Lepisosteus oculatus: one gene and its partners. Each later gene encodes a partner of the first gene's protein in a complex. Links are inferred from orthologs where the notes say so. Each region holds a gene or a part of one and is shown in the gene's direction. Other genes may lie near its edges.

Evidence for each region.
Region 2: AT-rich interactive domain-containing protein 1A (region 1) and smarcd3b share a complex: the UniProt entries of both Homo sapiens proteins name them as parts of the neuron-specific chromatin remodeling complex. The link is inferred for Lepisosteus oculatus from reciprocal best matches to the Homo sapiens genes ARID1A and SMARCD3.
Region 3: AT-rich interactive domain-containing protein 1A (region 1) and smarcc1a share a complex: the UniProt entries of both Homo sapiens proteins name them as parts of the neuron-specific chromatin remodeling complex. The link is inferred for Lepisosteus oculatus from reciprocal best matches to the Homo sapiens genes ARID1A and SMARCC1.
Region 4: AT-rich interactive domain-containing protein 1A (region 1) and actl6b share a complex: the UniProt entries of both Homo sapiens proteins name them as parts of the neuron-specific chromatin remodeling complex. The link is inferred for Lepisosteus oculatus from reciprocal best matches to the Homo sapiens genes ARID1A and ACTL6B.

Annotation. Positions count from the first base shown.
Region 1 is NC_090706.1:7,218,647-7,227,062, reverse strand, and holds the start of AT-rich interactive domain-containing protein 1A, read left to right. Parts: upstream 1-4,792; 5' UTR 4,793-5,119; coding exon 5,120-6,046; intron 6,047-8,416. UniProt on the Homo sapiens protein: Involved in transcriptional activation and repression of select genes by chromatin remodeling (alteration of DNA-nucleosome topology).
Region 2 is NC_090701.1:29,339,456-29,347,289, reverse strand, and holds the start of smarcd3b (SWI/SNF-related matrix-associated actin-dependent regulator of chromatin subfamily D member 3b), read left to right. Parts: upstream 1-4,473; 5' UTR 4,474-4,708; coding exon 4,709-4,786; intron 4,787-7,834. UniProt on the Homo sapiens protein: Involved in transcriptional activation and repression of select genes by chromatin remodeling (alteration of DNA-nucleosome topology).
Region 3 is NC_090705.1:20,049,512-20,057,275, reverse strand, and holds the start of smarcc1a (SWI/SNF complex subunit SMARCC1), read left to right. Parts: upstream 1-4,512; 5' UTR 4,513-4,582; coding exon 4,583-4,777; intron 4,778-7,764. Other genes in the region: KAT8 regulatory NSL complex subunit 1, read right to left, coding at 1,577-3,453. UniProt on the Homo sapiens protein: Involved in transcriptional activation and repression of select genes by chromatin remodeling (alteration of DNA-nucleosome topology).
Region 4 is NC_090698.1:10,092,755-10,100,749, forward strand, and holds the start of actl6b (actin-like protein 6B), read left to right. Parts: upstream 1-4,496; 5' UTR 4,497-4,738; coding exon 4,739-4,763; intron 4,764-6,254; coding exon 6,255-6,331; intron 6,332-6,817; coding exon 6,818-6,983; intron 6,984-7,520; coding exon 7,521-7,621; intron 7,622-7,902; coding exon 7,903-7,995. UniProt on the Homo sapiens protein: Involved in transcriptional activation and repression of select genes by chromatin remodeling (alteration of DNA-nucleosome topology).

The DNA of each region.
Region 1 (8,416 bases):
GTCGATCTGTTAATTGCAGATTGCGGATGTGAAGAGCTCGATTATCTGCTCCAGGTGAGGCTGTGTGGCGGTGCTCCATGCTTTGAGTGTGTCTGGGAATGACCAGTCCCTCGAGTGCCACTTCCTTCCTAATCACACTTCAGAGTGTGCGTCGCCTCTCAAGCAACAAGCTGGACGAGGCCCAAAGTGTGTGTGTGTGTGTTTACATGCTGTGGGTGTGTGCGTCCGTATATCACCAGTCCCTATTCCACTTTCGTGAGGAAATTCCATTCCACATTATCTGGCTGTCTTAGTAATTAAATGGCTCCTTTCCCAGACTTAGTCCAATGGGAAAAAAAACACAACACAGAGTTCAAAAATAATGATCCATCATCAATAAACTTTTTTCCACTATTGTGCTGTTGCTTTTATTTTCTTCAGTTCAGAGTGAAAGAGATGTTAGTGTTTTTTTTTGTTTCATTGGTGTAATTAAGGGTTCTGGTAATCTTTGTGTGATTGCAGAATTTTCCCCTTATTTATGCAGTGAATGTCCATTGTGAGTAAGGCCAGCAGGCTCTGCTCTGTCAGCGGTATGAAACACAGTCTGTTTTCTTTCAGGGTTAGGGAGCTGTGACCGTGGGACAGAAAGAGTCTGCATCCCTCCCCATCACGACCAGGCCTTGCTTCAGTCACTGTTGGGCCAATGTTTGAGTACAGCTGGTATCAGGTTTGTATTACAGCTGGGTGATGGTGGGTGTCATGTTCGAGACAGGCATGCTTTTGGCCTCTGTTCCTTGGCAAAGTTTCAGGAGTGCTGCGTTAGAGAAGCCCTGTACCAGTGGAGGCCTGAATGTGATACATTCGTCATTTTCTCGGGGGGCAAGATCAGAGGCTGTTCGGTCAGCATGTTTTAATCATTATTGTGGGAAGACGGATTGAGTTTCCTAACCTAGCAGGAAACGGTAGGGAGAAGGGCAGCCTACAGCACGTAACCGATGACCAGTCATACCTGAGGAGCTCGCTGCTAAGTGTCAAGTCCAGGGACCTGGAGAGTGGATATAGGCCTGAGCATGGAAAAATGTCATGTACAGCGTTTGTACCAAACCCACGCTCTTTGATGTTAGTTCTCAGTTTTAGGTTATTGATCTTTCTGGCAAATTTGGCAATGCTTTTCCCATACGATGGTGAAAAAAAACACCATCCTTCACAAGCACTGCACCATACGATAAAACAACACGCATTATCCTTTACCACCACTGGTGCAAATTCCATTATGGGCCCATCATTATTTTGTACCGGTTCGTAACGAGACGCAGTTTCAGCAGAAAGCCAAGATCAGAGCTCTGGACTTCTAGGGAGAAGTCAGGTGGATATGAAGGACTGGAGAGCTGACAGGAACTTTCTGCAGGGGCAGGTCGGTGGCAGCAGTCCTGTCAAGTTATGTGAAATTTCAGTTTGCTGTATGGTTTTCATGCATGTTGTTGTATGGTGTGGTGTACCCTTCATGAAAGAGTTACAATGCTGTGTGTGTGTTTTTTTTTTTCCTTCGTCCAAGTGTAACGAATATGCCCCTGCGTATAACAGGGATCTCAGCCACCCGGGCTGAGGGAGCTCTCCTTTAGCTCAGCCGTCAAGTTCCCTGTTGCATGACGCCGGAGACCTGGGTTCGTGCCCAGGCGGTGAGGGACGAACTGGCAGGGCAGGAGTGGCAAGGGCGGAAACACCAAGAACCATTACAGAAGCAATTCAGAAGGCCTCTTGCCAGGTTTCTTATCCTTGATGTCCTGTGCAAATACAGGCTTATCATATTTTTTGGTAGATTATATACTGTATGTTCTTAATATTATATATTCTTCAAATCCAATTTATTTATAGGCTTGGAACATTCAATTTTCCTGGGGCACAATCCTGCGGATTCCTTCACAGTGCCATGTGCTCTATCCCGGTGGGATTGCTGAGACACACGAGGTGGAAGGCCTTAGGGATTCTACCTTTGCTATTAATGTGAACAGTGTGAGTAACTGGGGCTGGGTTAACCACTTAAGTGTGATCTGAGCGCAGTGTGATGTCATGCAAAGGGGAATTGTGCTGTCCTCTGCTTATCCTGCAGAACGGTCTCCTTTCTTTTGTAGAGAATAATTTCTGCAAAGGCACCTAAACAGACAAAGTGGTGAACGATCGTTAGATGTTGTTTTGTCTTACTGTGGCTTTAAAAAAAATCCTTAATGGACGTATTTAACTTGAATGCCAACGTGATGAAAATTGTCCTGCAGTTTGGGCTGTCAGTTATGTCCCTGATTTTAACACCAAGAACGAATTAAGTTCCTCTCTATTTCTCCACCTGGCCAACTGGATGCCTGGTTTGCCTCACTCTCCTTTCTTCTTCTAGAAGAGCGCAAGACCCTTCAAAGTCCGGGAAGCTTATTCTCTGCAGGACAGGGGTTTCTGTCAGCTCGTGCGACCGTTGCTCACGCGAAAGTTGGATCCAAAATTAAAACAAGGGAACACCTTCTTTTTTTTCTTGTCTGGGGAAGCAGTTGGCTTTCGGAGGCCAGAGGAGAGGAGTCACAGAGGCGGCGCGCTGTCAAAACCTCCCCCGGCGTCACGGCCTAGCCCCAGCCGAAGACAACGGACGTTCGGTCCTTTTGTGAGGAAAATATGTCAAAACTTTCAAGGAACACCATGTAAAAACCATCTCTTTTGTCCGGCGTTTTGATTTCCGACACGTCACGGCGTCTGGAAGTTTGCGGGGGGGGGGGCGAGTCAAGTCGGAAGGGTGAGCTAGCTGAGGGGGCTGGTGGGGTGAAAAACGTTGCCGGCCCGCGCGGCTTTTTGTGGTAAAACGAGGCCAACGGGCATCGGAGCCGCCCTCATTCCCCCAGGCCCCCCGAGCGCGAAGAGGCACAACACACCTTCGCTGCTGCCGGCAGTTCGGCCCTCAACAAGTTGGTCCGCAGAGCAGATGTGCACCTCGCGCTGAGCCACAACCTGTCGGGCTTGCAGGCCCGGCCCGCTGAGGGTCCGCAGTGCCGCGTCCCGGCCCGCTGAGGGTCCGCAGTGCCGCGTCCCGGCCCGGTGAGGGTCCGCAGTGCCACGTCCCGGCCCGCTGAGGGTCCGCAGTGCCGCGGCCCGGCCCGCTGAGGGTCCGCAGTGCCCCGGCCCGGCCCGCTGAGGGTCCGCAGTGCCGCGGCCCGGCCCGCTGAGGGTCCGCAGTGCCGCGTCCCGGCCCGGTGAGGGTCCGCAGCGCGCTCGCGGGGGACGGCGGGGAAGTCGGCGCGAACGCGTGGCAAGCGAGGGAGGCGGGGTAGGGACCAGGGACGGAACAGGCCGGGGGGAGGAAAGCGTTGGGCAAAATCGACGTCGAAACACCCTCCCTCCTCCATGGCCTCCTCTGTCGTCGTCATCCGTGGAAGACAGCCGACACATAAAAGGGATGCAGAGGGATTTAAGCGAACAAACCCGGGTGCAGAGAGAAAAAAGGGTGGAAAAGAAAAACAGGTCATTGAGACACGAGTTTAGAGGGGGAAGAGAGAGTTGGGGACGTTGGGATGAGTTTCCCCCAAACCTCCTCCCCCCTGCGTCCTGACTAGGCAGGGTTTGGGGTTATACCTCTTCTTTTACCCCCGCCAAACGCAAATAATAAGCCACTGGTTTTATCCCCCCTCCCCGCCAGAGGGCCGAGGGGAACCCCTTCCTCCGCACGCCGGACGAGGTCAGGCCCCCGCGCGAGGAAGGCGCTGTGGCGCCCGCGCGCCCATCCCCCCGCGCTGGAGAGGCGAAGTTGTGTGCGCGCGTCTGCGCCGGAGAGACAGGCCGCGAGCGCGGGGAGGGGGTGGGGAGAGCGAGAGGGTGTGAGTGTGTGTGTGTGCGCGGATCGGGGATGGCGGCTCGATCTCTTTAAATGCGCCGGGACGCTAAGAGAGCCGGAGGCTTATTTATTTAGTTTTTTTTTTCCCTTCTCCTTTTGCTGCGCAGCCAAGCCACAGTCGGAATATTATGCATTGTTTTCTTAAGAAATAGTATTCTGGACTGTAGCTGCTACTGCGGCGGATCTCTCCCCCCCCCACCCCTGCCTTCTGTATCACTTCCTGCTCTGTGACTGGTTCAGTCCACAGCTCACCCCTCCTCCCTCGCTCTCTCGCTGTAATTCCATGCCGCCTCTGTGAGGAGATCGGGTGTTTCTGTGCACACAGTCGCACTTTTCACATGCTCGCAGTGCGCGGAAGATTTACACAGAACCGTCCACGGCAACTAGTTCACTCCTGCTTTTGAGCGCACAGGAGCAGGACATTTAACATCCACACACCCCCTGTCTTCACACGGGCGCAAGATAAAGTGTAACCATATCCTGGTTCGCGTCCATTCGGTATGCGTTGTTTTAAATAGGCTTCCCATTGTGCCCGCAGTGATAGTTTCTTTTACAGTACCCGTTCTGTTTTTTTAAACAAATATATAACACTTCTCCCCCACCCAGCACCAAACACACACCCTGACACACGTGAACTTGTTTGATTTCTATCTTGACTGTGTTTTTTCCAATGCACACAACCCCTTTCCTGAAGAGGAAAATGGGATTTAAAAAATAATATTCATGTTTTCTTTTGAACTGGCCCAATTAAAGCATGAGGGGCCTCTCAGGATACGGCACCTTTTAAAGCCGACGTCTGCGTTTCCCTTATTTTCTGCACCGCCACCCCCTCTACCATCCACTTTGCGATAAATGTTATTGCTGTTGTGATTTCAAAACACCCCGGTCGAGTTCCAGTCTCAGTCCCGCTCCACCCCGTCTCGGGACTCCAGTCCGGGTTTTGCGTCTCTCTGCGCGCCTCAGTAAAATGGCTGTGTCTCGCGGAGCCTCGTGCTGGTTTGATCAGTTTCTCGCTCTCAGTCTCGTTCTCTAACAGAAGCCCCCCCACATTCCGTGTCGGTTAATTTCATTCCCGGGATTTTTATTTATTTTTTTTCAATAACTTTTAATTCGCATCGGAGCCGGGAGTGGAGCCCGGATTCGGTCCGGTGTTAGGGGGGAATGAGCCGGGACACGGGTAAATTGTTATAAATAATTGTATTTATATTCAATGCTATTGAGTGTTTGATTGTGACTGACTCGCTGTGAAAGAGAGAGAGAGAGAGGAATATCATGGCCGCTCAGGTCGCCAGCGTCGCCACTCTCAACACCAGCCCGCCGTCCGAACTGAAAAAAGCGGATCGGGACCCACAGGAGGAGCCGGTACCGGGGGAGAAGCAGCAGGAAAATAAGGAACCGGGATCGGAGAGTGGATCCCCGGGTCAGAAGGAGCTACAGGACGGGGCCGATGGTGGAAATGCAGGGGGAGGAGGGGATCCGGAGATGAAGAACGGGAACGGGAATCCGTCCAGGGTGAACAATAATAATAACCAGAATGATTCAGGAGCTCCCGAAGGGAATAACCACCCCGGGATGGCACACCACCACCCCGCCGCTTTTCCTCCACCACCCTACGGTTACAGCCCGCACTACGGCCGGGGCCCTTTTCATCAACATGGCGGACAACAAAGCCCTGGCATGGCAGCTGCGGCGGGGCCGGCCGTGCAGCCAGGCAGCATGATGGACTCCTATCAGCCCAACTCGCACGACCACGGCTTCCCCAACCACCAGTTTAACAACTACAGCCCATTCCCCAATCGGACTGCCTACCCCGGCCAAGGGTACACTATGAATTCCCCGCGAAACAACCAGCCTCCGGCGGCTGGGGGGCAGCCAGCCAAGCAGCAGCAGCAGCCGCCGCCGCCAGCGGGAGGAACTACAGCTATGGCTGTCACTTACAATAATCAGAGGTATACTATGGGAAACCCGCAGCCGACTTCCACCCCAACCCTAAACCAGCTCCTGACCTCTCCCAGCTCGACGAGGGGCTACCAGAACTACCCCCCTAGCGACTACAGTAACCAGGAAGGAGCTAACAAGGGACCAGTAGACGTGGGCAGCAGCAGTCAGTATGGTGGCCACCAGGGTTGGCAACAAAGGACCCATCATCCGCCGCCTATGAGCCCGGGAAGTACTGGGCAACCACTAAGCAGAAATCAGGTAAAGTTTCATTCGCCTCGGAGCCCGCGGTGCTTGGCTGTGTTTTACACTCGCAGCCCTCTGTAATGGTGTAGACTAGGACCTAGTGCAATGGACCTGCCATTGTCTCTCTCTCTCTCAGACTCTCTAAAATGGCTGCCTCTCAGCTTTTTCTCCACACCACCTCCTCTAACAGCGTTTATCTAGTAAAAACAAGCGGCTGGTCGAGCCGAATCGTCGTCTTTCCGAGCCCGGCGGTGAAAAGTCGAAGTTTGGGCGGTCGGGCTAAAAGGAGAGGCGACTTTTAAAGAGGTAAAATGACAGCGAAAGGCGTTTTTTTGTTTCGCGTGTTGTTTATCTGCAGGGCAGGACGGCTTAAAAGGTAATTAAAATGTGTAATTCTCAGGGCTTTCTGTCTCTTTCAGGGGTGGTTTTTTTTTCTGTTTCCCCTGTAGCCGCTCGTTAGCAACATTGGTGTGTCCGGGGGTTATAGCAACTAATAGATCCGCACGTTTGTATTAATTACATTTGCATATTTGGATTTAATAGTGGGGAAAATTCCCAGCATGGCAGTAAGATTTCCTGATCCTTGTAAAATGCATGTAACATTCCAGAAAATACTAAAACAGTGCTGGCTTTATAAACGTCTAGTTGGAGCTGGAAGTTTTTTTTAACACTATATTTGCTGAGTTTTTACATTGACCTCCTATTCCTCTCGGAGAATGGCGTTTTAATTCTGTCCCTGCATTCCCAGATCGGGGCTCTTCTTTCCTTAGGCTGCTAGTAAACAATGGCCAGTGATTTGAGTAAGTGCAGATTGCTTTGCTTTGGGATTTGAATTATGGAGGTAAAATCCTTCTGTCAAAGCCAGGAGACAGTTGGTCTTAGGTTGACATGCTAGCTGAGATCTGATTGGCTCTCCATCCTCTGCTCTTGGCCATTTATAATTGCATCTGATGTAATGCTACAACAATCCCTGATTAGCTCATATACTTTTACACTCTGAAGATAACAGAAACATCTTAACAACACACATTGCTTACTTTCAGGCATGCTGCCTCTCTTGATCCCAGAACTATCTTCTGTGATGCTTGTAAAAGGTCAATTTGTCATTGATAATGGTCAGTTTAATATGTTACATTTTCCCCCCAGTGTCTTACTTAGTATATGTCATTAATAAAAAAAAATCTTCCAGCTTTGTTCAGTGTTTATGGTTGTATTTGTGTAAGGGCGCATCTTGTTGATAGTTTGATCAATAATTTTAATAGTCACAGGTCATTTTTGGTTATGATGGAGTGTGAAATGGATCTGTTTGACTGGACGGGGAAATAATTTTAAAACCTTAATGTCCATTTTCTCTAATCCGTATTAGTGATAACATCCACATCTCATTATATAAGCTTTTGAGCAGTTTCAATTATTAGAACTAGAACTTTTTCAGTTTTTTTAATCCAAGTAATTCTGTATTTCTTGGGTGTATTCACCAAGTAAACCATTCATTCATATATTATTATTAGGATAAATTAATAGTTTACTTAGTGGAATTTCCCCCCCACATAGTTTCTACCATCTGGATGCTATACTTTAATGCTTTTAATGCTTTTTTTTAAAGCCTCCTAACTTTATAAAAAGTTATCAGAATTGTTCATTTTAATTTTATTAACAATTACAGTATAGCTCAGAGGTTGTTCTTTTTCAGGGAGTGAAAATTAATTTTGAGATTGTTGTGGCTTTAGATAATTGATAAAGGGTCTTAGATTGATTGCACATTATAAAGATTAAATAAATCCTCTCATCGAGAATTTGAATTTAGGGTTCTAATTGCATAGCACAACTGATTAGATTATTTATAGAAGTGGATAGATGTCCATTTTTTACTAAGATGTAAATTGTAGTGTGTGATGTTATGAAATTGAATTCCAGTTGTCCATGTCACACTGCTGTGACTTTAGTGTGGGGTCATGTTTTCATTAATTTATTTTGTCTCGTTGCTTGGTCGGAAAGCTTCACATCACAGGTGGAGATCCCTGGGCTCTGAAAGATGCTTCGAGTCTGCAGTTTAGTGGCCTGGTGGATTGAAAAGAAAAGTGCCAAGCTGGAAATGACCAAAATGGAGGTGGCTGGCCTGTCGATTTCCATACATTTCTGTGGAGGTTATTAATAATGTTTACAACTGTTCTTCTTGCAGCAGATTATATGAGCTGTCAGTGTCTGTAGCCTGTCCAGCCCATGATCTTCGCTACAAAGTTGCAGTTACATACAGGGATTTGCAGGCTGCTCTAGGTTTTCTGTGCATCTTTAAAGCTTTGTAAGGAGGGAGCTGGCAGTATTGACTGTAGGCAGCTGTGAAGGTGCATGTGATTGGTTATGCTTGCCCTGTTGTGTACTTTT
Region 2 (7,834 bases), on another chromosome or scaffold:
TTTGTTGTCGTAGTGAGGACCAGGAGCTGTGGCTTTGTTTTGTGGCGCACACGACAGGAAGAGAGAGTTCACTCTTGAGTTGCTAGAAAGAAGACCTTCATGTGCTTAAACAACAAGAGCACTGCTTTTGTCACAAGATGCTCTTCAGGCTTTTGAAAACCATGGAAGGCTGAGAACAGATGAATAAAATCACCTTTTTCTGAGACTTTATGGAGATCTTGTCTCTCGCACACCCACACCAGCATTTCTCCAGCTCCTCTCTGAAGTGCAGAAAAGATCTAATTTGCACACTAAAGCTTTTATATAGTTACACATTATGTCATTTCCAAGTACTTAATTTGTAATCTGGGTCCCCAGTGGAATTTCCTGTGCCAGTTGTGACACCTGGTTTTTCTTTTTTACTTATGGTGAAGTTTGTCTTGTGTTATGAGTTTGTAAACCAAAAAATGTATACGGTACAAACTATCGCTGCCATCTGGAGGCCAGATCTTGGTACTGTAGAACGTGAACCTCCTGTCCCAAGGTGACTTGCAGTGACAACCTCCTAATTCCACCCACCAGGGGTCTTCGGTTATTCTCACTGGATGCTCTTTTTTAAGTCACTGGGAGATCTTCAGGCGATTGCATGGTTCTTGCTGTGTATGCATTATTTCATTTGTCAGGCAATGAATACACTTTATTAGTTTGTGTGGTGGGATTCTGAAAGAATATTGATCTGCTCCAATTAAAAGTAGTCTTAAGTATTTGTTGGATGTGAGGACATCAGACGTGATTCTTATGTTCTGACCATCAAGTAACACAGTCGCTTGGGCCTGTCTTCAGAATTATGATTAACTTCACTTAGACTTACAGCTCGGCAAGGGGAAGTTTTCTTTTTACACAGACTGAGGAGATTTGTCAGTCTCAAAGCTAGAGTGGAGTTTCTCAGTGTTTGCGTGGAAAACTATCAGTGAACCGACACTACCGAGTTCCTTTCCCAAGACACGGGGTCACCCGCAGCCCCGAGACTCCTGAGGAGCCTGGGCATGACCATTGTGAGAACAACTGTTGTGAAACAAAGAGACTTCAGATGAGGAAGTGTTCACAGGCATTCCAGCCAGCTGTGGGCTCAACATGCAGTCCACAGGGGACGCAGACTGTGATCATGTGCTCTTTTTTAGTCTGTGTACATCTCTATACATCTGTGTGCATCTTTGTGTCTCTGGTAGGGGTGTACATTTGTGCTTGTGTGTTTTGTTTGTATACAGTATGTGAATGTCTGTGTGCTCAGTCTTGGTGTGTGTATGTGAAAATAGTAACCTTTTCTTGAATTGGATATTCCTGGAAATGTTCCATGTTGTAATTATCCCATGACAGAAAACTTTCTTTTCCCAGATTGGACATTTGGCAGACATACGGTATGTAGTTACAGTATAGTACCCCTGAGTAGCAGTCTGTCAGCCAACACACTGTGCTACTCTTTTGTCACGAGGAGCTCAATATTATTTTCCATGAAATACTCAGTGTCTGGTGTGCATATATCACTGTATTAAATTAACATGTATTTGATAACATACTGCAGTTGGTATAGCCCATTACAATTCTCATCTGCAAATTGTTTTTCTTGCCTCTCTTATGAAGTAATATGGAAGTAAAGGGAACCTGTGTACAGTTACGTCTTATTTGCAGAATAAGGAGAAAGACAATAAGAAAGAGCAGTAGACTCTCATGCCAGTCCTGTGTAAAGCCAGCAGACAAACTGAGTGGGAAAAAATAGCTTGGGATCAACTGACAGTGAGTACCTGTCACAGAGGAATGTATTATTCCATAAAACTGTGGTGGTTTTAACAGGCTGCTGTCTTCACTGGTGTGAATTAAATTTATTGATAAGGAATGTATTTCCTGATGTCAAGCTGTTTAATGTATTGTAGTGAAAGGCTCTGTATAGTTAGAAAATAATCTACAGAAGAGTTGTACAGTATAACTGTGAGGCTGCCTTTCTAGTAAAATGTCTTACTACAACTGTTTAAGGGGAGACGGATCACAGATGTTAAAGTATTCAGGAAGTCAGGCATCGTGGGGCTGAACAAGGAGGAAGAAAATGTGGGAAATATAGACAAACCATAGATTGGGGGTTTGGGGAGGAGGAGAGTCAAACAACCTCTTACTTACAAAGCATTTTTAGTATGGGTAGATTACCTGTTTAAGATTTGCTGAAAGGCTTTAGCTCACTCAACCGAAACCTGAATCAGAGTTCTACGCTGCGGGAAGTGTATAGGAGGTTTTCTGAAACCATGCAGGAAAAAATGAGCCTGGCTCCGACACTACAGTTTAAACAGGGAAGTGACTGTCTGTGAGTAGAGCCTTGGAAATACAGTTGTCAAATTATTCAAGGGGAGATTATCCCCAGAATGAGTGGTAAGACATCCCTCAGACATCAGTCCGAGCCACAGTTAATGGGTCCTGACAGCTGTTCCCCCAGAATTGGAAATAGACAATGAGTTAGAAAACAGGTACTGCCAGTGAAGATAGCATATACTGAAGTAATTGTGGTCAGGCTGTTGCAGGGATTTAAAAGCATCTGTCATAATGTACTCTAATAACTTTAAAGTATATTGTAACCAACCATTCAATGTAAATTAAAAAATTCTGTAGATCCACAAATTTTATGTATATCTGTTGTGCTGGCGATGATTCCTAAGATCTTTGACGTTGGTGTTGTGCCCTTTATTAGGTCTATTAGGTCTTTTAGGTTTCAACTCATATATGGGATAAGTGTGAGAGAATGCAGGCTTCATGAACATTATACTTAAACCTTAGGCTATTAATGTAACCTGAAATGGTTAAGGGATACATTATAAACTTAAATTGCTTAATTTGCAATAACCGATTTCTTAACCATAAGAAATCATTGCCTCTGAACAGTTTTCTGTGTATAAAGAACAATTTGTTATTCAGCAGTGTCTGGTGAAGTTCAACTATGTTGCAATCTTCTCGTTTCGCTGAAACTGTATTCGAGGTATGAAGTTATTAATGCTACAGTATATCCTGTTCTGACCTGCTTGCCCCTGTACATCCCTTGGGGTTTTCTGAAAGGCTCAGCATCGCTGTTATTTCCACACTTTAACAACTAAGCACTAGTACTGGACTCTGGCTCATACGGAATGCTGCTTAGTAAATATTTCTGATTGTCATGGTTTTGTAGTATGTTTTTAATGTTCCCTTTCACTTACACTCACCTGTGCTCAGCTGTACCTACAGTATGCTCAAATCTTTTTTCTTAAATATTGTTCTTACTATAGTTTACTGCCCTCTCAGCTTGAAGTCACCATTTGATTACTCAATTGGCTTGCCAGTATGGACCCTGCACCCTCACAGGACTGCGGATGGTCACCTCTGATGCTCACTTGTAAGCCATGTGCCAAGCCAGTGAGTCACAACGCTTCGAGAGACAGTTGGCACCGGTTGACTGTCAGGACTGCAAACTCATGGGCAGGTCCCAGAGGCGGCAGCTGTTGACTTTTCATTGGCTCAAGACCATCCAGCAGTTGGAGTCTGACCAGTCATGAGCTAGTGCCGAGAAAATCCCAGTCCCGTTCAGATGGTTCTGGGCTTAATGCAGTGCTGTCTTGAAGACTGGACTCGGATGTCACATCGGGTTCATGGGTGTGAATCTTTCTGCAGGGGAGCATTTGAAGTACAGAAACTGCCAAACAGTTTCTGTTTCAGGTGGTTCTTTCGGCTCCCCTTTTTCCTGTAAGGTCCCAGCAGATCTGACACTTCTGGAAAACTAGAGATGGGTTTCCCTGCAGCATACAAGTGGAACTGTTCTAATTTAATTAGAAAATAAGACACTGAGATGTAGAGAACTGTACAGGATTGATTTGTCTATGTGGACATAAGAGCTTTATAAGACCTGGCTTTCTATGTTAAGTTCTTTGGACATGGCCGTACAGGGAATAAGAGTCCACATTTTGTTTCCTGTGATAATGAGGTTAAATGAAGTTTTCTTGGTTAAAAGCGCACCCCTTGCTAGCAGCTGAAACCCATGCTTAAGGTTTTGTTTCTTTGTTTCAATTTTTTTTAAATAGCTTCACTTCCATGTTTGATTTAAAGCAATCTGCTCAAGTTGGTTTGCTTTGTGTTTCAAAACGCACAAACTGAACATTTGGAAAGAGCTTTAAAAGCGTTTGAGAAGTCGAGATGCAAAATGAAAGCTGGGCCCTTTAAGCCTTCTTTCTCCTTTTTGAGAATGAAACCTTTCTCTTTGGTCAAGCTGTAGCTCTGCACATTTGTCATCAGTGATTGGCAAGGGGAATGGGTAACTGTAAAGCAAACTTTTCCAGCCAGTGCATAAACACCAGAGTGCAGCAGCCAGTCACACAGCATGCCCTTATCTACCAATGGAATGCAACAGCTGCGTGGGGGGCCCTGAGGGTGGGCCTGCCGGAACCCCCCTGTCAGACCCCCGCCCTCCCTCCACAGGCTTCTGAAATGCTGCTCAACTAAAAAGTGTGAGAGCCAGAGAGAGGGACTTGGCTTGGCTACACACTTAAAACACAGAGAACAAGAGAGGGAGAGAGGGGGAAAGAGAGAGAGAGGGAGTGGGAGAGAGTGTTCTGAAAGGCAGGAATAAAAAGGAAGAAAGTGAAGTAGGGGGGGTTGAGTTGGAAGGGAAAGAAAGAGAGCAAGAATAAGGAGGAAAACAAAAGAAAAAGGGGGCTACCAAATGGCTACAGAGGAGACTGCCGGGGGAGCCCGCAAAGCTACGAAAAGCAAACTGTTTGAGTTCCTCGTCCACGGTGTGGTGAGTAGGTGCTGGCTGGCTGGGGTAAGAGCTGGGTTGCTCTGTGTGTGCAAAGCTTGGCAGTCTGCATGCGTGAGATAGCTGGGAAAGCCGTGTGAAGGTTATTTCCAGCCTTGAGTCGCGTACCGTTTCTTTTTAAAGAAGAGAGGGGAGGGAGGGAGCTGTGGGGAAGCAGGGGAGGTGGGTTTTGTAGTCATTAAAAAGAGAAAGAGACGCTGCTCCTTGGTCGCTTCCAGAAGAGCATGTGGAGTGCCTACTGCGACTGGCCTCCACAACTTGAGTTCTGCTGCTGCACGCAGCACACCTGGACAACTGGGGAGCCCCCCTCAACCTTTTAACCAGTTTAGATGAGACCAGTTCAAGCCCCCTTAATGGTTCAGTCTGGGAAGTGCAGAGGAAGGTTTATTGCCTTGAGAGGCTTATCAGAGCAACAAAAGTGGGCACAAAAGCCTTGTGCTTTGTAAAGAGTAGGAAAGTTTAGGAACAATACAAGTGGAATGCTGGAACAAATGGACGTCAGCTCTTAAGATCTGGCAGTCTGGCATATTGTCTTTTTGTTTGTTTTTAAGAGAAAAAATAATAAACTGCGTGGGAGAAGGTCAGTATACAATATGCTGTAGTGTGCTACTGTATGCATACTGTGTCAGGATTCAGGAGCCGTGTCTTCTAAGAAAACATGCCTAGTATGTTCCAGATTGCCTGACAGATTTTGTACAAGATGAAAACTCTTTTGCTACAGTAAGAGGAACCTGCTTAGTGCAAACACTCATCCAGCAAGCCCAGCAAACAATGTTGAGCACACATTGACTTTATTTGTGGGCCACCTTGGTGCTTGTCTTAATTAATTATGATAAACAAAGTCTTGCAAAAATAAACGTTGGTTTCCACCATGCTGGACCTGAAGAGCAGGGCATCCCTGGAGCCAAAAAGATTTAGAGAAACTCTGAGTTTCTTACACTCAGATGTCTCCTGAATAACAAATCTGTTCTGCTGCAATAGAAGCAAATGAAATACAAACCGTCTGGCTGTCTGGTTAGAAGAATTTAGAGACAAATTAGAAATTAGAGGTGTATGTCTACAACTTGCTATTGGTTTCTGATGCAGTTCTTTGTTTGTTCTTCTTAGATTGTTCTGTGCTGTCATAAATATTTCATTACAAACAGGGTAACACCTGAAAGAGAAAATGAGGAGAGGAGGTACAGCATGTTAGGCTTACCCTAGATATAGACCACCTCATAGAGTTCTCAGCTTCGTGTGACACTAATCAGCCGCCTCTGTGCATATTCCCTGACACTGTAGTTTGAGAAGTCTCTTCAGATGCTATTTTTGCAAGAATAAGTAGTCAGTATGACACATGGTGTGTAACTTTTACTTTTTTATTTTGGAATCTCCAATTATTTTCTTATTTATATTCTCCTATGTGAAATTGACAGAAACCAATATCCATTGCCCTGGTTCAGCAGATTTTGGCAGGTACATTGGTTTCATTGAGGAGAAAGTAAGTGGATGCTTTTGACATCCAAGTGACAAACCTGGAGACCCTTGTCAGGATCTTGCCATCCCACTGTTTCAGGTTGTAATGCGTAATCTGAAACACCACATGTAAATCACACGGGAGATGATTAGTCGTCTCTGTGCCATTCTCAATTTGTGTTCTATCTCATTGATGCTGAGCCTTGGCAATACCAGTCACTCTGAAAAGATCAGGTTAGTTTTTTGCCGATGTAGGTCGTTTAACTCAGGCATTAGCCTTCTAATCAATGTCACCCGCTGCTTCTCTGGAAAAACCTGTTTTGAGTTTGAGAAAAGCTTTTTTGGGATATAATGTTAACTATTTTCAGTATGGTTGGGGATCAGTTTGCTAGTTCGGCGTGGTTAGCTAAATTGCTTGTTTAGAAATGGTTACATAAATGACACGTCACTAAGGGCAAGGAAGGTCAGTGCCTTTCCTTCAGCTTTCTCCATGGCATGCTTTCAGCCAGTATGCATGAGTAAATAGGACCTGTGCACTAAAATGAGTGAAGTCAGGTGAACCACTAACGGCATTGATGCCCCGTTCTTCTTTCTCACCTTTCACTGAATCTATATGTTTGGAAAACGCTTGTGCGACTCGATGGTAAGGAAAGACAGATCACATCGCTGCTTCTTGTCTTTTCATTGTGCTATAAAAGAATAGACAAAGTTTTGCCTGTGGAGCCCTCTTCAGGTTACAGCATTCCTTTTCCTTTCAGCACAGAATAAACCTTTACCTATTCCTTTGCAGCCTACGCATGCTATTCATAGTTGAGCTATCCATATTTTGCTTTGTCTACATTGACACACAAGTTGTTTATTTTAAAGTGTGACAGGGTCAATAGTGGGACTGCGTGTCACAAACAGCACGGAGGCACGCAGACATCGTTGCATTCCCATGCGCACCCGATCACTCACTAATAAACTTCAATCACCTTGTCTATTTAAACTTCCACTTTGCAACTGTGGAACATGCAGCTGTGGCCCCTCCAGTGGGTGTGATAGTGGCAGCCTGCCACATAGTTACAAATATTACGAGTTGGTCATCTTGTGTGTGGCACCATGTACATTCAGTTGACCTTGTGAACTTCAAAGATGAAACTTTTGAATCCAGACCCCTGTATTCATAACTTTTATCTTCGTTAAATTAAGCAAATCAAAGAAAAGACGAAAGTTAAAAAAACCAAAAAACCAAACCAAACCAAAATAAAATCTCTTCTCTGTTCTGTACATCATCATTGCCATCTCTGCCAACCACATGAAGACTAACTATCCTAAATGTCTTGGGAAATACAAAGTCAGGATTTCAATAACCAAGTCAGCCTGTGATATCCCTGACATTATCCCCAACAATGCAAAATCTAGAACTCAGGTTTTATTAAGAGTCATAATAACTGTTAGTGGAGTGATGTTTTTATCATATTCTTCTATGTTTACAGTAACTGTAGCATGAAAACTAAAACTTCCATGGAGAACAATCTAGTTGTTCTTTGTTAAAATGTTCTTCTGCAAGAGTTCATCAGTGGTTCATGAAGG
Region 3 (7,764 bases), on another chromosome or scaffold:
GTAGCCAGCACACTGACGTTATAACAAGAGGGCTTTAGCATAAATCTTTCAAGATGCTATTTTAGAGCAGTGCATGCAAGCAGTTCAAATTCTCCTTTTTATTTGTAACATTTTCTGTGATCAAAGCAATACGGGAAAATACTTCACGAATCTGCCTCCCTCAGGTTTAGTACATCAGCCTTTTTCACAGAGAGCTCGACCTTCAGTCTGCATCCCTGTGAGACATACCAGAAACACGAGAGCTATCAACCAGTATATTAGGAAGCCAGAAGAATAAAAATACACAATTAGAAGTGCGTGCAGACTCCATTCCCTAATGAATTTAAGTTGATCTTAAAAAAGCAGGTCACATGGCCATATCCATGAATGCTACCTTTATTATGTCCTTTCACGTCTGTAAGAATGGATGAAAAAATATAGAAAAAGACACCGAGATGATCAAAATAAACCATCAACCCTTCTGTTCATGCCATGGCAGCAGTAGTTTGAAGAGGGTCTCTGGAAGCTATAGACCAGTCCATCAGGTGAGGGTTTATCCAGTCACAGAAGCTTTCATATCAGACCCCAACCAATGTCTAAACCCTAATCACAAATTACCATTTTTCTTTCTATTCTGTTCTAAGACTGGGAGGGGAAAAAACATGCTTCACGTACAGCTCTGACTTAAAGTTTTGATCACTTTAGTTACCTCAAAAGCTATGCAAAACCTCAGGCATTTCATGTGCTTGGATATTTACATAGCCTTTAAAAGCAGGTTATTTTCCTGGTACAGACCCCAGCTCACCCGGGGATAAATGCCTGAACACTGACCTCCTGGAGCAAGAGCTATCAGATCATCGCATCAACTCTTGACACAGCTCAGAGCGAAAAGAAAATTACCTCTAGAGGGAGATGTGTTAAAACAGGTTCCACCGAAACAAGTGAAATACATTTTCCTTCCATCCATCCACCCATTTGCTAACCACTTCAGCCAATTCAGGGCTGCAGGGACAGAGTCTACAGTATCCTAACAAGCAACAGGCAAGGGGTACACTCTGAATGGAACCTACCAGTCGGTCTTTGGACCGTGGGAGGAAAACAGAGCACCCAGCCAAAACTCATGGCAACGAGGGGAGAACATACAAACTACATGCCAATAGCACCCCAAGTCTGGAACTGAACCCAGGGCCCCATCACTGTGAGGCAGCAAATCTCACCACTGCCCTACTGTGTCACCCTTGAGATGTTTTGAGGAACAGTTCCTCTCAGTGATGGCAAAAAGTGCTGGAAGTTAGGAATGGCCTTCCAGGTGGATGCTGCATTGGTGGTGGTGGAGGGTAGTCCCCATTACCTGTAGAGTGCTTTGAGTGGAGTGTCCAGAAAAGCACTATATAAGTGTAAGCAATTATTATTATTATTCTGAACTCAATCTTGAGGCCTGCCTCTCTATGTGCTTATTGAAAAGACAATGTGTGCATGTTGGTAACTGCAGCATGCAAGAGCTTATGATAGTGACCTGCAGTGTAAGGGATGGAGCAGGGCTCAGTGTGCAGTTACAGGGTTCAGGGGTTGTCTGGGGCGCAGGGGAGTTACTCACAGTGTGTGGGGTGTGTGCGGAGCTGGGCCGACGCTGCCTCCTCTCTCCCCGATCTCCTCACTCTCGCTCTCCCCTCCAGAGCTGCTGCTCGCCGTGGCGTCCGAGTCCAGGGCGCTCTCCACCGTCCTGAGGGCTGCCGTGCAGCTCTGCGCAAACCGGGCCACCTCGCCGGTGCCGGGCGCGAGGGCGCCGTGCTTGAGAGGCGCCCCTCCTCCCCCCCTCCTGCCTCGCGCCACGGTCCCCGCCAGGCCGCGCAGCTGCTGGGCCACGTGCCTCTCCAGCTGCTTCCCCTGCACCGCCTGCAGCCGCCTCCACAGCCTCTCCGTCCGCTCCTCCAACCGCCCCTGCCTCCGCCCGGCCTCCTCGGCCCCCGCCTCCACTGCCCTGAGGCTGGGGGCCTCCGGGGGCCGTCTTCCCCCCCGGAGGGCCCGAGCTAGTGCCGCCACTGGCACCCAAGTCACCCTGCTCACGCCGTTTGAGGTGAAACCCAAACTCACACCGTTCTGCGGCGCAGGGCCCCCCTTGGCTGCCCACATCTCCTTGCCATCATTTCTTCCATGTCCAGAGATGCCGTCCGCTCCCCCACTAACTGGCCGGCAGGGCTGGGCAAGGCAGCTGCTCGCTGACCGGCAGGACTGCCGCCCAGGCTGGCTCTCCTGGGGCCCAGGGTGTAAAACGCTGCTTATCCCTGGAGCAGAAGCACAGGCGGGCCGGAGCGCTGGGCAGAAACTGCTCCCGTTCTGTGGGCCCCGGCAACCATTCGCATTACTGCTGCCCTTGCCCGCGCTGTTACACCCGGCTGTGGCCGTCAGGAAGGAGCGCACCCTATACAGTCTCACCCTGCCTTTGGCACTTCTGGGCTCCTGTCCATTGCTGCTATCAATATAATTAACACAGCTGTCTTTTGCCGCACTAGAGTATGGGAATACGCCAATCCTGTTCGATGTAACGGGGCTTTCAAAACCACTCGAAACACCACACCTGCTCCCACGCTTGGAGATGTGTACCGTGGCAGAGCGAGCCCAGCTGGCGGGCTTGGGGATCTCCGAGTGGCTTTTAAAATGCCTCGAACCGGCCAGGCTGGTCTTGAACTCTATGGGCGGAGAGCAGAACGAGGGATCTTCCAACTCCGAGCAGCCGGCTCCAGAGCCCGAGATGATGCCGCAGTGTGCTGATGGTATCTCCCCCGTGAAACAGACCCTCTTCGGCGCTCTGCTCAGGCTACTTCCAGGACGCTTCGTGACTGCAGCGGCCAAATTTATTGCACGATTCCGGGTGCCTGAGACTTTGCTTACCCGGTTCTCCGTCTTGGATCCGTTGCTGTATCTCCTTTTGCAGGCGGCAGCTTGCAGCCCCCTGCCCTCCGCGCATTCTGTCCTCCCCGATGCAACAGCCATAACAAGGCTCCGTCCGCCCCCATTTTCTCCAGGCTCGGAGCCACTGGTTTTGTAATCAATATTAATGCTGCTCGCACCCTTCAGCAGATCTCCGTTTCCATTGGCAAGACTGAGGCATTCCTCTCCGCATTCTCCAGTCTCAGCACTCCGGTCGCGCTTTCCCCCGCTGCTGTCACTGGCATTGTCCAGAAGCACGACCTTATTTTTACTGCTGGCGTCCACATTATTGCGGATTTTATCTTCATGATTCCAATCGCTATACATTTGGGCCCGGGCGCTGCCGGCCTCTCCCTCGCAGCACGGAGCTGGAGTTGCGGCAGCGGCGGTAGGAGCAAGCACACAAGCTCCGTCGCTGTCGGCGAGCTCACCGCTGCCTCCTCCCCCGCTTCCCCACTCGCCGCTGGGCAGGGTCCCCTCTGCCCCGCCTCCCCCACACGCTTCACTGCCGCTCATTTTAGGCCAGGTAAAATAAAAATACATCGCCGTATCTGGTCGTTGGCATGGCCAGGACTGGTAGGACAGTCAAGGCTCCCGCCGCCCTGCCTCCGTGTCCCGCAGAGACTGGAGCTGTCCTACCCGTCACTCCCACTGCCTCTCTGCGTTTTGTGCTGTACATGGTATGAGGTCTGTCAGCTCACTGACGACCAGCGCGCAGGCGCCTGTCACTACTCTGCAATCGGGGAATATGCCGTTACCTTTAAAGCTGCAAGATGAATATTGCCTTGTTACAATAGTACGATACAATAAAAGCACTTCTGAGTTTATCGTAATTGATTTTGCAAGTATTGTTGTAAACCTTCAAGATTTCTTCAAGATTCTAAACAAGAGGTACAGAAGAGCTCATAAAGAACTTTATATTTTAGTAGCCTACTATCCATTTTTGTAGGCTTATTACAAAATATTATCAGGTAATTAATGTTGTGAAGATATGTTTGTTTGGGTTTGCTTTGGAATAGCTACAAAGGGCGGTGTTTTTTTAACATCTTTCATAGTTTCCATCCTGATATATCATATCTTCTTTTTCTTACATTTGCATGGCTGTCAACCGTAATACTCAGTGCAATATACTCAACTAATACCCCGACACGCCCAAAGAGGGCTCCACAGCCGAAACGTTGTTTCCTTTCCTCTTTTCAGCATGGAATAAACTTTTAACTTGTTTCTTTGCAGCCTACGCATGCTGTCGCAGCTACCTACTTAAACTACTCAACAAATATCCTGTTATACAGGCTGAATTGCGAGATGACGGAGAATGCTATTTAACCCAGATTGCTATATTGAGATATTTTAGGAACAAGTAATAGGTTTATTCCATGCTGGAAAAAATAAGAAAGGGAACACAACGTTTCGGCCGTGGAGCCTTCTTCAAGTGTGAAATATCTCTAAAATACCTCAATTTTTAGAGATATTTTAGAGCATTGTATTACAGACATGTCCCTAAAATGAGTGTGAACTACATTTCCCATTAGCCTTCACTCCTCCCGCGAGGGAGTACCTTCCCAAGGAAGCCCCTGCGAAGCAGGTTGGCGGCTGCGCAGTTCGGTTCTAGGCCTTGAATTGGGAGCTAGGCGGTTGGCTGGGGAGGAAGCGAGGCGAGTAGCACAAAACAATGGCGACAGCAGCAATTGCAGCTGGGGGAGCGGGCTCCGGGGGCCCGGCGGCCGGGCAAGGGGGCAGCGGTGCTTCGACTCTCTCGGTGGGCAGAAAGAAAGATGGGGGCCCGTCTGCTAAGTACTGGGAGAGCTCGGAGACGGTCTCTCAGCTGGAGTCGGTCCGGCTATGGATCGGAAAGCACTACAAGAAGGTAAAGCTCTTCCACCTCCATTGATTCGGCGGCTACATCCGTGCGCCTTGCTCGACAGAGAGGCGCCTTTTGTACGGGCAGTGAAATCGCGGAGGGAGTAATAATGCTCTTGATTCGTTTGGTTTACTTAAGATGGCCCCATTGCAAGGGAAATCGGTTCATTTTTTAAACCGATTTGCGTTCTATCCAGCAAGCCGCTAAACGCAAGCATCGAGGCTGTTGGTCAGTTGTTTTGATGGTGAGGGATGTTGTGTGGGTGACGGTGAATTCAAGTTTTTTAAGTAATTCTTTCTATAATGGAGTGGATTTTTGTACGAAAGGTGGGCAGATAACCGTGATTAAGGGTGGCGCGTTAATGGATCGAAGTATTGGTGTTAATTTTGTGTTTTTCTGAAGTTGGTCGCTGGTCAGCAGGCAAAGGAAGTGGATTTGCCTGGCAATGTTGAAGCCTCTAGGGGAGATATTACGGTCTCACCCAAAAAGACACGGCAAAACACATTTCCGTGGAAAGCGCTGTGAAACTAAAGGTGTGTTTAGGTTAATGTTGATGTACAGCTTTGGTCGAGGGCCAGCAGTTACGGAAAACAAAACCCTAGGCCACACGCATGTGACAGCTGACTTCGTTTCCAAAGTCAGCCCACGGAGAAAAAAGAAAAGGGCCCCGGGTTCGGTGGTGTCGGCGTGCCGGCCGCGGGCGAGGTGGAGGCGGCCGCAGGTGGTGCTGCTCCTCGCAGTTGTGTGACTCCGGGATGCTGCCGCTGTCCAGACACAGCCCGCAGGCTCGAACAAAGAGTCCCGTGTGGATTGTCTGCACGGCAGCTGCGTCTCCTGCCTCCTCAAGCAGAGAAAACGCTTTGTTTCGAGAGCCCCACCGCCTTGGCCGGCATTGCTGGATACACGATATCGTAATCGAAATGCGAGTGTGTGTGTGTGGGGGGGGGGGGGGGACGTGTGATTTTGTAGGTTGTATGTGTGGTATCACAATTTGTACAGATGGCCGACTGGTATTTTTAACGGAGCTACGAAGCAAGGGGGCGGAGATGAGCCCAGATCTCGTGTTGCTGAGCGGTAGTTGCAATTCGACTCCAAAAGCTGCTCTTGATGCATTTTGATCGATTTGGAGTTGAAGGAGATACGTACGTCCCCCCTGCAGATTTACGTGGGAAGGTTACCAACTTGAAACATCCAGGTTTTGACTGGATGCATAAGAGTGCAACCCGTAAAACCCGAATCGGATTAAACTGCAGAGAAGTGGGAGTTTATTTCTCCTATCTATGCTAAAGCAGTGCGTGTCTGAAAGAGCTTCCGGGCGCTGTAGTTTGACAGATGTTTGCTTGTGGCTGTGTCAGTAACGTTTCCTATGCTTAAAGAACTGAAAGGTGGATAGTGGATCAGCTGATATTAAATGATTTGAAGAGTTTTGTATTGCTTGGTTGTTGGATTGCGCTAACCTTTATCTTAGTTCACATGGCTTTTGGGTATTGTTTCTGGTGGCTGTGTTTCTTCTCGCAACAATCCAGACTGAACCTTTATAGACATGTCCGATTACCGTTTTCATTAATAAGTTGAACTGTTTCATCCAGAGGAACTCGTGGATGACTCTGTAGGTACTCCAGAATAGATACGTCTGCGTCTCGCCCAGTGGCCGCACTGCAAATATCCTCCAATGCAAAAGGTCACAGTGTGTGGTCAGTCATATTTTGTAAGAACAATGAGAGAATAAGGGTTTGTCTGAGTGCTGCTGGAGTTCCTGTGGCTCAGTCTGGCCTTGCCAGGGATGTTTAATCATCCATCCAGTTTCTAACTCCTTCGTCCCGTTCAGGATAGCAGGGGAGCCAGAGCCTGTCTTGGCAAGCAGCAAGCAAGAGACAGGATACACCCCGGATGGGGTGCCACTCCATTGCAGGGCAAGCAGGCACAAACACAGATACACACACTCGCACCTAGGGCCAGCTAACCCGCCAGTATGTTTTTGGACTGTGGGAGGAAGCCGGAGCACCTGGAAGAAAGCTGTGCGAACGGGGGAGAACATACAAACTCCACACAGATAGCAATTTCTAGGATTAAGGATGGATTATAGGATGTGATTTACCATTGATCAGTGAGATTCACACCATCCGCTGTTGCACTAAAGTCCAATCCATCATTCAGGATCCCAACCATACTGGCCACAGACTGTTCTCTGGGAAGTGGTACTGCACTATTAAAACACAGACCTCTAGATTTAAGAACAGCTTCTATCCTGCTGCACTACGCATCCTCAACAGCTAACTGCAATGCCTCAGACTCAATACACATCTGCACTATGCACTTTTTGCATAGTCTACCATGTTTTGTTTTTCTCTCACTACTACATAGTTATTGTCCCACAACATATTTATTGTTCCTGTTATTATGTTTGTAATGTACTGTGTACATTTTGTGGTGTTGTCTGTAGTGCTGTGTATGTCCCGAGAGATCAACGCGTATAAGAATTCCAATGCACGTGTTCGTATGTCAGTACATCCCTCTACTACTGCTCCTCCACTCCTCTTTAGAATTGAAGCAATGCTAATCACTGCAGCACCGTGCAATCCATGTTTATAATGATAAAGTCTTAATCTAACACTAAAGTGTCTTCCATCTAAAGTGGATATTTATCACATTATGTGTGTCTTTTGTGAGATTAGGCACATGAGAGACGTTCCATACGAAAGGAGGTCATTTTCCTTATCTGGCCCGTTTGCTTGCTGGTACTTAAGTGATATGAAAAAACTCATACATCTGTTTCTTAAAAGACACAATGCTGGCTTCCATAACAGAGCTGGGCAACTTATTCCAGATATCCACAACCCACGTGTAGAGAACTGCTTCCTGTTCTAAATTTTGAATTTCTACTTGAGTACCATGGTTCATTTCCACATGTTTAAAGTTACTGATTTTTTTTTAATTGGCAGGAATAATCATATTTATATTCATTATATAGCAGAAGTAATGAATGGTTGGGA
Region 4 (7,995 bases), on another chromosome or scaffold:
TGCATTTCTGATACGGGGGGGGGGCTTCATGACCACTGCTGTATATGACCTGCCTCTTTGTGTGCATGGCTCCATGAACCATCGCCTCTCCTCTTCAGTTGAGGGGGGCTGGGAAGGGATGAGAAGACCATGTGCAACTGCAGACGGGAGGTAGCTCCTATATTTTCAGAAGCAGCACACTCCTCCCCCCTCCCCCCCCCCCTGCCTGTTCAGTAATGGTATGGCCCACCTGCCAAGTTCTCCAGGCTGCCTCATTAGGGAGTGTAGTAACGGAGGCTGGGTTGCTTAGCAACAGCCTTAGCGATGGTTCTAGGCTGGATGGATGGGCAGAGGCTGATGGAAGGAGAGAGAATCAGTCCAACACACACACACACTCAAGCCCACAGACATGCACACGCACAGACATACACAAGTGCACAGATACACAAATGCAAGCACCGATGCACTTACAGACATGGTAACACACAATGACACAGAAACACAAATTCCAATACACCTCTCTCTCAGTCTACACAGCCTCGCGTATACAGAGAGCATAATGTCCAGAGCACAAAAGAGAAGGAAGAGGTATCACAGAGCAGCCTTCCAGAAATATGCAGGATTCCTTCTCTGCAGGGGGCGCTATAATCGATTTCCAATTCACCCCATCCCACCTCACCCGTTTCCAAAGCTGTGGCCCTTCGATAAAGGGTCAGACAGCCTTGTCAACCACTGCTCCTCACCCTGCCCCCTACAGGAAAGACAGAGAACAACCCATTGTGTGCACTCTGTGAGACATCTGCCTCCCGTCACACTGACACAGACACACACTGACACAGAGAGGTGCACACACACTGACTCACAGACACACACTGACACAGAGAGGTGCACACACACTGACTCACAGACACACACTGACGCAGACACACACTGACACTGATATCCACACTAACACAGTGACATGGGTATCAACACACACTGACACAGAGACCAACACAGACACAGAGACACACACACTCACACGCAGATACATGCATACACTCACAAATAGATACACACACACACTGACACAGGGACAAACACTCACACACAGATACATGCATACACTGACAAGTATGACAAATAAATACACACTGACACAGATATATACATGATCACAGTGACACAGACTGACATGGACACTGTACATGTACACAAAGATTCAAACACACACTGATACACAGATACCATGCATACACACACATAGATGCATGCACACACACTGACACACATTCACACACACACACTGACACACTGATACCATGCACACACACACAGATTCACAGACACTGACACACTGATACCATGCACACATACACAGATTCACACACACACTGACACCATGCACACACAGAATTCACACACACTGACACACAGATACTGTACATGCACACACACTGCCGATCACTGGACCCTCAGTTGGAGCAGGAGGGACCCAGAGACACGATCTGCCCCAGCCCGTCAGGGATACTGATGCCCCGGAGCGAGAAAGCAGCCGGTCAGGCCGGGCCGGAGGCGAGGGGCACTCCAGCACAGCGTCGCCTTTTTAATCGGTGATGAAATAGCGGCGTATTTACGGGACTGCAGGACTGGGACACCCTGGCAGAAAATAATACACACCCACCCGAAAATAACCACCTGCCCAATTGCTCTCCTTATAATGAGCGCGATCCGGACACAGTCGGACTTTCCAATCCAGCCGGACGCCCACTCGTGAGCAGCAACTGACAGGTCTGCCCACGGAGACCGCGGCAGCACCCGTATCGATCCGCGAGTGACTGCGCTCCTCTCGTCATCTCGCTGCCCGGCGCCCGGCGTCTCTTACCTGATCCGCGCCCGTGCCTCTCTCCCTCTCTCACACACAGGGGGCCTTTCCCGGGACCGTCCACCCCAGGACAAGAGTGACCGATTCCCCCCCTCCTTCTCCTCCTCCCCGTCTCCTCTGGAGCGGGACCGGAAAAAAAAAACACCCACCGCGTCACCTGCCTCCGGCGCCGCAGGGGTTAAGTGTTCGCGGCTCCCCCTCTGCTCCACACCGCCCCCCTCTTCCCTTTTCCTCCTTGTCCGCCTCCTCTCGGAGTCTGCCAGGACACGCCCACCACGACCGCATTGTTCCAGACTGACAGGGGGAATTGTCCAATCAGAGGCAGAGATGACCACTGAGGGGACGGAATGCGGCTATCGACGTAGAATGTGCCAATGAACCACGCGATGATAAACCAAACTTACTCTGAGCCCATCATGGGGCTACAGTCCCAGTACAGGAGAACAGTCCTGTCACAATAGGAGCTACAGTCCCAGTACAGGAGAACAGTCCTGTTACAATAGGGGCTACAGTCCCAGTACAGGAGAACAGTCCTGTTACAATAGGAGCTACAGTCCAGTACAGGATAACAGTCCTGTTACAATAGGAGCTACAGTCCCAATACAGGAGAACAGTCCTGTTACAATAGGAGCTACAGTCCCAGTACAGGAGAACAGTCCCGTTACATAGGGGCTACAGTCCCAGTACAGGAGAACAGTCCCGTTACAATAGGGGCTACAGTCCCAGTACAGGAGAACAGTCCCGTTACAATAGAGGCTACAGTCCCAGTACAGGACAACAGTCCTGTTACAATAGGAGCTACAGTCCCAGTACAGGAGAACAGTCCTGTCACAATAAGGGCTACAGTCCCAGTACAGGAGAACACTCCCATTACAATAGGGGCTACAGTCCCAGTACAGGAGAACAGTCCCGTTACATAGGGGCTACAGTCCCAGTACAGGAGAACAGTCCTGTTACAATAGGGGCTACAGTCCCAGTACAGGAGAACAGTCCTGTTACAATAGGGGCTACAGTCCCAGTACAGGAGAACACTCCCGTTACAATAGGAGCTACAGTCCCAGTACAGGAGAACAGTCCCGTTACAATAGGAGCTACAGTCCCAGTACAGGAGAACAGTCCCGTTACAATAGGGGCTACAGTCCCAGTACAGGAGAACAGTCCTGTTACAATAGGAGCTACAGTCCCAGTGCAGGAGAACAGTCCCGTTACAATATGAGCTACAGTCCCAGTACAAGAGAACAGTCCTGTTACAATAGGAGCTACAGTCCCAGTACAGGAGAACAGTCCTGTTACAATAGAGGCTACAGTCCCAGTACAGGAGAACACTCCCGTTACAATAGGAGCTACAGTCCCAGTACAGGAGAACAGTCCTGTTACAATAGGAGCTACAGTCCCAGTACAGGAGAACAGTCCCGTTACAATAGGAGCTACAGTCCCAGTACAGGAGAACAGTCCTGTTACAATAGGAGCTACAGTCCCAGTGCAGGAGAACAGTCCCGTTACAATATGAGCTACAGTCCCAGTACAAGAGAACAGTCCTGTTACAATAGGAGCTACAGTCCCAGTACAGGAGAACAGTCCTGTTACAATAGAGGCTACAGTCCCAATACAGGAGGACAGTCCTGTTACAATAGGAGCTACAGTCCCAGTGCAGGAGAACAGTCCTGTTACAATAGGAGCTACAGTCCCAGTACAGGAGAACAGTCCTGTTACAATAGGAGCTACAGTCCCAGTACAGGAAAACAGTCCTGTCACAATAAGGGCTACAGTCCCAGTGCAGTAGAACAGTCCTGTTACAATAGGGGCTACAGTCCCAGTACAGGAGAACAGTCCTGTTACAATAGGAGCTACAGTCCCAGTACAGGAGAACAGTCCCGTTACAATAGGAGCTACAGTCCCAGTACAGGAGAACAGTCCCGTTACAATAGGGGCTACAGTCCCAGTACAGGAGAACAGTCCTGTTACAATAGGAGCTACAGTCCCAGTGCAGGAGAACAGTCCCGTTACAATATGAGCTACAGTCCCAGTACAAGAGAACAGTCCTGTTACAATAGGAGCTACAGTCCCAGTACAGGAGAACAGTCCTGTTACAATAGAGACTACAGTCCCAATACAGGAGGACAGTCCTGTTACAATAGGAGCTACAGTCCCAGTACAGGAGAACAGTCCTGTTACAATAGGAGCTACAGTCCCAGTGCAGGAGGACAGTCCTGTTACAATAGGAGCTACAGTCCCAGTGCAGGAGAACAGTCCTGTTACAATAGGAGCTACAGTCCCAGTACAGGAGAACAGTCCTGTTACAATAGGAGCTACAGTCCCAGTGCAGTAGAACAGTCCTGTTACAATAGGGGCTACAGTCCCAGTACAGGAGAACAGTCCTGTTACAATAGGAGCTACAGTCCCAGTGCAGTAGAACAGTCCTGTTACAATAGGGGCTACAGTCCCAGTACAGGAGAACAGTCCTGTTATAATACGGGCAAATTGAAGTCGGGGGAAATTAATTCTTCTCGTTGCCTTGGAGACCAGAACCTTTAAGGTACAGCCTGTCCGCCCACCCATTTCTTCTTGCCACCCAATGGCGTGCGTCCACACGGCGCTGTGATTGGTGGGCTGAGGAAGAACAACAGCGGGAGAAAGAGCGAGTGTGCTCGTGCGTGAGGGGGGGGCGCGAGCCTCAGCCGTCCAGCTTCGCCTTATTCTGCACAGTTGTCATCCACAGACCCCCGTCCCCAAATCCTTCCTGTACAGACAGATCTTTGTAATTTCACCCGACAGTTACGCATTAGGGATATCTGATCAAATCCGAGCTGTCCTGACCTCCTGTCTCTTTTTTTCAGGTTTCTGTTTAATTGATGTGACAGCTCGTTTTGTGGGGGGGTGGGTCTAGGCGCCGGTATGAGCGGCGGAGTGTACGGAGGAGGTAAGGAGCGACCGTTTCGTCTGCGCGCAAAAACCCGTTTCCGAGACGGGTGACACCTGAGGACCGAGGCTGGGAGATAAACCCCCCCCCCCCCCCGTGAGCGAGACAGGGGGTGTGGGAGAGAGCGAGCGGGCGGACGCGAGCTTCGCCGCGTCCATGTCGTGCGACACTTGGCGTGTATCGCGACACCGGAATGCAGACTCGAGAGGCTGAGCAGCAGGATGATATACTGCTGAACGCGTCTGCCTCCGTGCCCGTGTTTACATCCGTGTCCGCATCGGTGTCTGTGGTCCAGAGCGGTGCTCGCGGCTGCCTGCGCCTTCACCCGTACCCGTGCCCACGGCCGTGTCTTTGTTCCACTGCCTGTCCACTGTGTCCGTGTGCGTGGCGCTGCTGTCAGCGGGGTCTCCGCCAGTGGCGGGGTCTGTGTCGCCGGGTCCGGGGGCGAGCGGGGCAGCGTGCGGCGACACAGGGGGACCCGCGAGGGGATGGGGACCCGCGTGGGTGACCTCCCATCGCAGGAAAAGCCACGGTTCCGTGGGGTCAAGTCCATCCCGACACGCGCGTGTGGGGAAACGGTGTCGGGATTGGGGAATGTCGGCCGCAGATGCGTTAAAGGAACGGAGTCTCTTCAGTGGTCTGCAGCGCTGTAGGGGACTATGAGGTGGGGCTGTTCAGGAATTCAACTGTCAGTTGCTGACAGCCTGAACCCAGAACATTGTTCTATGTCAGGAACACGACGGCACAACCGGATGTGTAATAATAATTAATAATTGCTTACACTTATATAGCGCTTTTCTGGACACTCCACTCAAAGCGCTTTACAGGTAATGGGGACTCCCCTCCACCACCACCAATGTGCAGCCCCACCAGGATGTGTAGACAAGCCTGAGAACAGGGAGCACATCCTTACACAAAGGCTGGTGAGGGTGTGGAACAGCAGCCCCAGCGCTGTTGTTGTTGTTGTTGAAGGAGATTCCCTGGAATCCCTCCAAATCATCCGGATGACTTGGGGAAAGAATGGCTATTGAGCAACCCAACTCCCGCTGTCCCTTGCCCAGCCTGTGACTGTTGCTCCAGTCATGTCCAACTGGGCTAAACTGCAGAGGACCAGTGACGAGTGGGAACACTCACCCAGCAGGCTGGGGTCCCCGGGTTCAGGTTCAGGCAGGATCGTCTGGAGCTGAGCATGGGGCTGATTCCTGTCAGGGTTCAGGGTTCGAGGACCACTTGGTCCCAGCGAGACAGAGAGCTCAGCAGCCACACCTCCTTACCTGCAGCTGAGAGAGGGGTGTCTCTCTCTCCCTCTGCCTGTCTCACTCTCTCTCCCTGTCTCCAGGTGAGCCCCTGTCTCTCTCTCCCTCTGCCTGTCTCTCCCTCTCCCTGTCTCCAGGTGTGCCCCTGTCTCACTCCCTCTCTGCCCGTCTCTCCCTCTCCCTGTCTCCAGGAGTGCCCCTGTCTCACTCCCTCTCCCTGTCTCTCCCTCCCCAGATGAGGTCGGGGCTCTGGTGTTTGACATCGGCTCGTTCTCCACCAGGGCGGGCTACGCTGGCGAGGACTGCCCGAAGGTACCGCGCGGCTCCTGCCCGCTCACCCCTCTCTCCGCCCTGGCCATTCCTGCCCGGAGGATAAGCTGAACACTTGCTGGTTTTCCAGTGCCAGTCAGCCCCTTCCAGCACGCAGTGAAAAACCGCCCCCCCCCCGAGCAGTGCATCGTGATCCGTGTAGAACTGGGACTATGAGAAAAGTGGTTCACAAGAGTGCACGCCAGGGGGCACCTCAGGGCTGGGCTCTGTCTGGACGCTGTTACAGCCCCGCACGGCGGGCCCTGGCGTGAGCCTGACTTGTCCACGTCGCCAGCAGGGCGTTCCCCATGGCCTCTTGCCATGTGAGGTCCCAGCCCCACTGCGCTGCAGTGGTCAAGCTGCCTCGCTGGCCCTCCTCCAGCAGCACTGCCGTTCACCTCGTACCCACTGTCCCCTTCACCCCCTCCCCCTCTCTGTCTCTCGCGCTGGCCTCACCTCACCCCCCCCTCCCTCTCTCCTTCTGCCCAGGCGGATTTCCCCACCTCCCTGGGAGTGCTGGCCCAGGAGGAAGGGGGCGCGGAGCTGGGGGCGGACAAGGAGAAGTCGTCAGGACGCACGTTCTACATCGACACCAACGCCTTGCACGTGGCCCGCCCCGGGGTGGAGCTGGTGTCCCCGCTGAAGAACGGCATGAGTGCGTGATGCCGCCTGCCCACGACCCCACTGCAGCTTCATCAATAGGAGCCATGTACCTTCGAACCACAGGGGGGCTCCCCCTAGTGGCCAGCCGGGGAAAACACTCTTTCCGAGTGTCGCTCCTGCAGTCTGCACTGATGTGTCCTACTCAATATATAATATCATTACATATTAATATACAATTAATATATAAAATATTAATTATATATCAATACATAATCATACTAATATGCTTTGAACTGAAAATGATACATACGTATACTTATCTATACTGAAAATTATATGTACAGATACTGATAATACTGGTACTGATCTATATATACTGAAACTATGTCGAGATTTGAAATATGATAGTAATACACATGGAGACTAGTATGTACAGAAACTGGTACACACCGAAATTGACATGATCAGGTACTGGTAATACACTGAAGCTGATATGTACGGATACTGAGACACTGCAGTACTGATCCAGGCCTGCTCCTACAGCGGTCACGCTAATGACGCCGGCGCTGTCGATGCTGTTTGTTTGCAGTTGAGGACTGGGAGAGCTTCCAGGCCATCCTGGACCACACGTACTGCAAGCACGTCAAGTCAGAACCCAGCCTGCACCCCGTGCTCATGTCAGAGGCTCCTGTGAGTACTCGCTCCTCAGGCCCTCAGCCGCACAGCGCCGCTCGTACCGCCAAAACTGCCCTCGCTGCCCCGGGGAATACCGCTCCTCATTCTCATTCTGGTCGCGTCTGGCGCCACTGGCGCTACCAGGAACGCAGCTGCTTCCGAGAGGACTAGGGCCGAATCCAGTGGTAGTGGCTGACAACAGCCGTGCTGGTGGCGGCAAGTGTTGGGTTGTGTGCTGAGCCCGCGGGTTCTGAGAATGACGCTGATGTTACTGGCTCTGTGTGTGTGTGTGCCAGTGGAACACGCGAGCCAAGAGGGAGAAGCTGACGGAGCTGGTCTTTGAGCACTACAATATCCCAGCCTTCTTCCTGTGCAAGACCGCCGTGCTC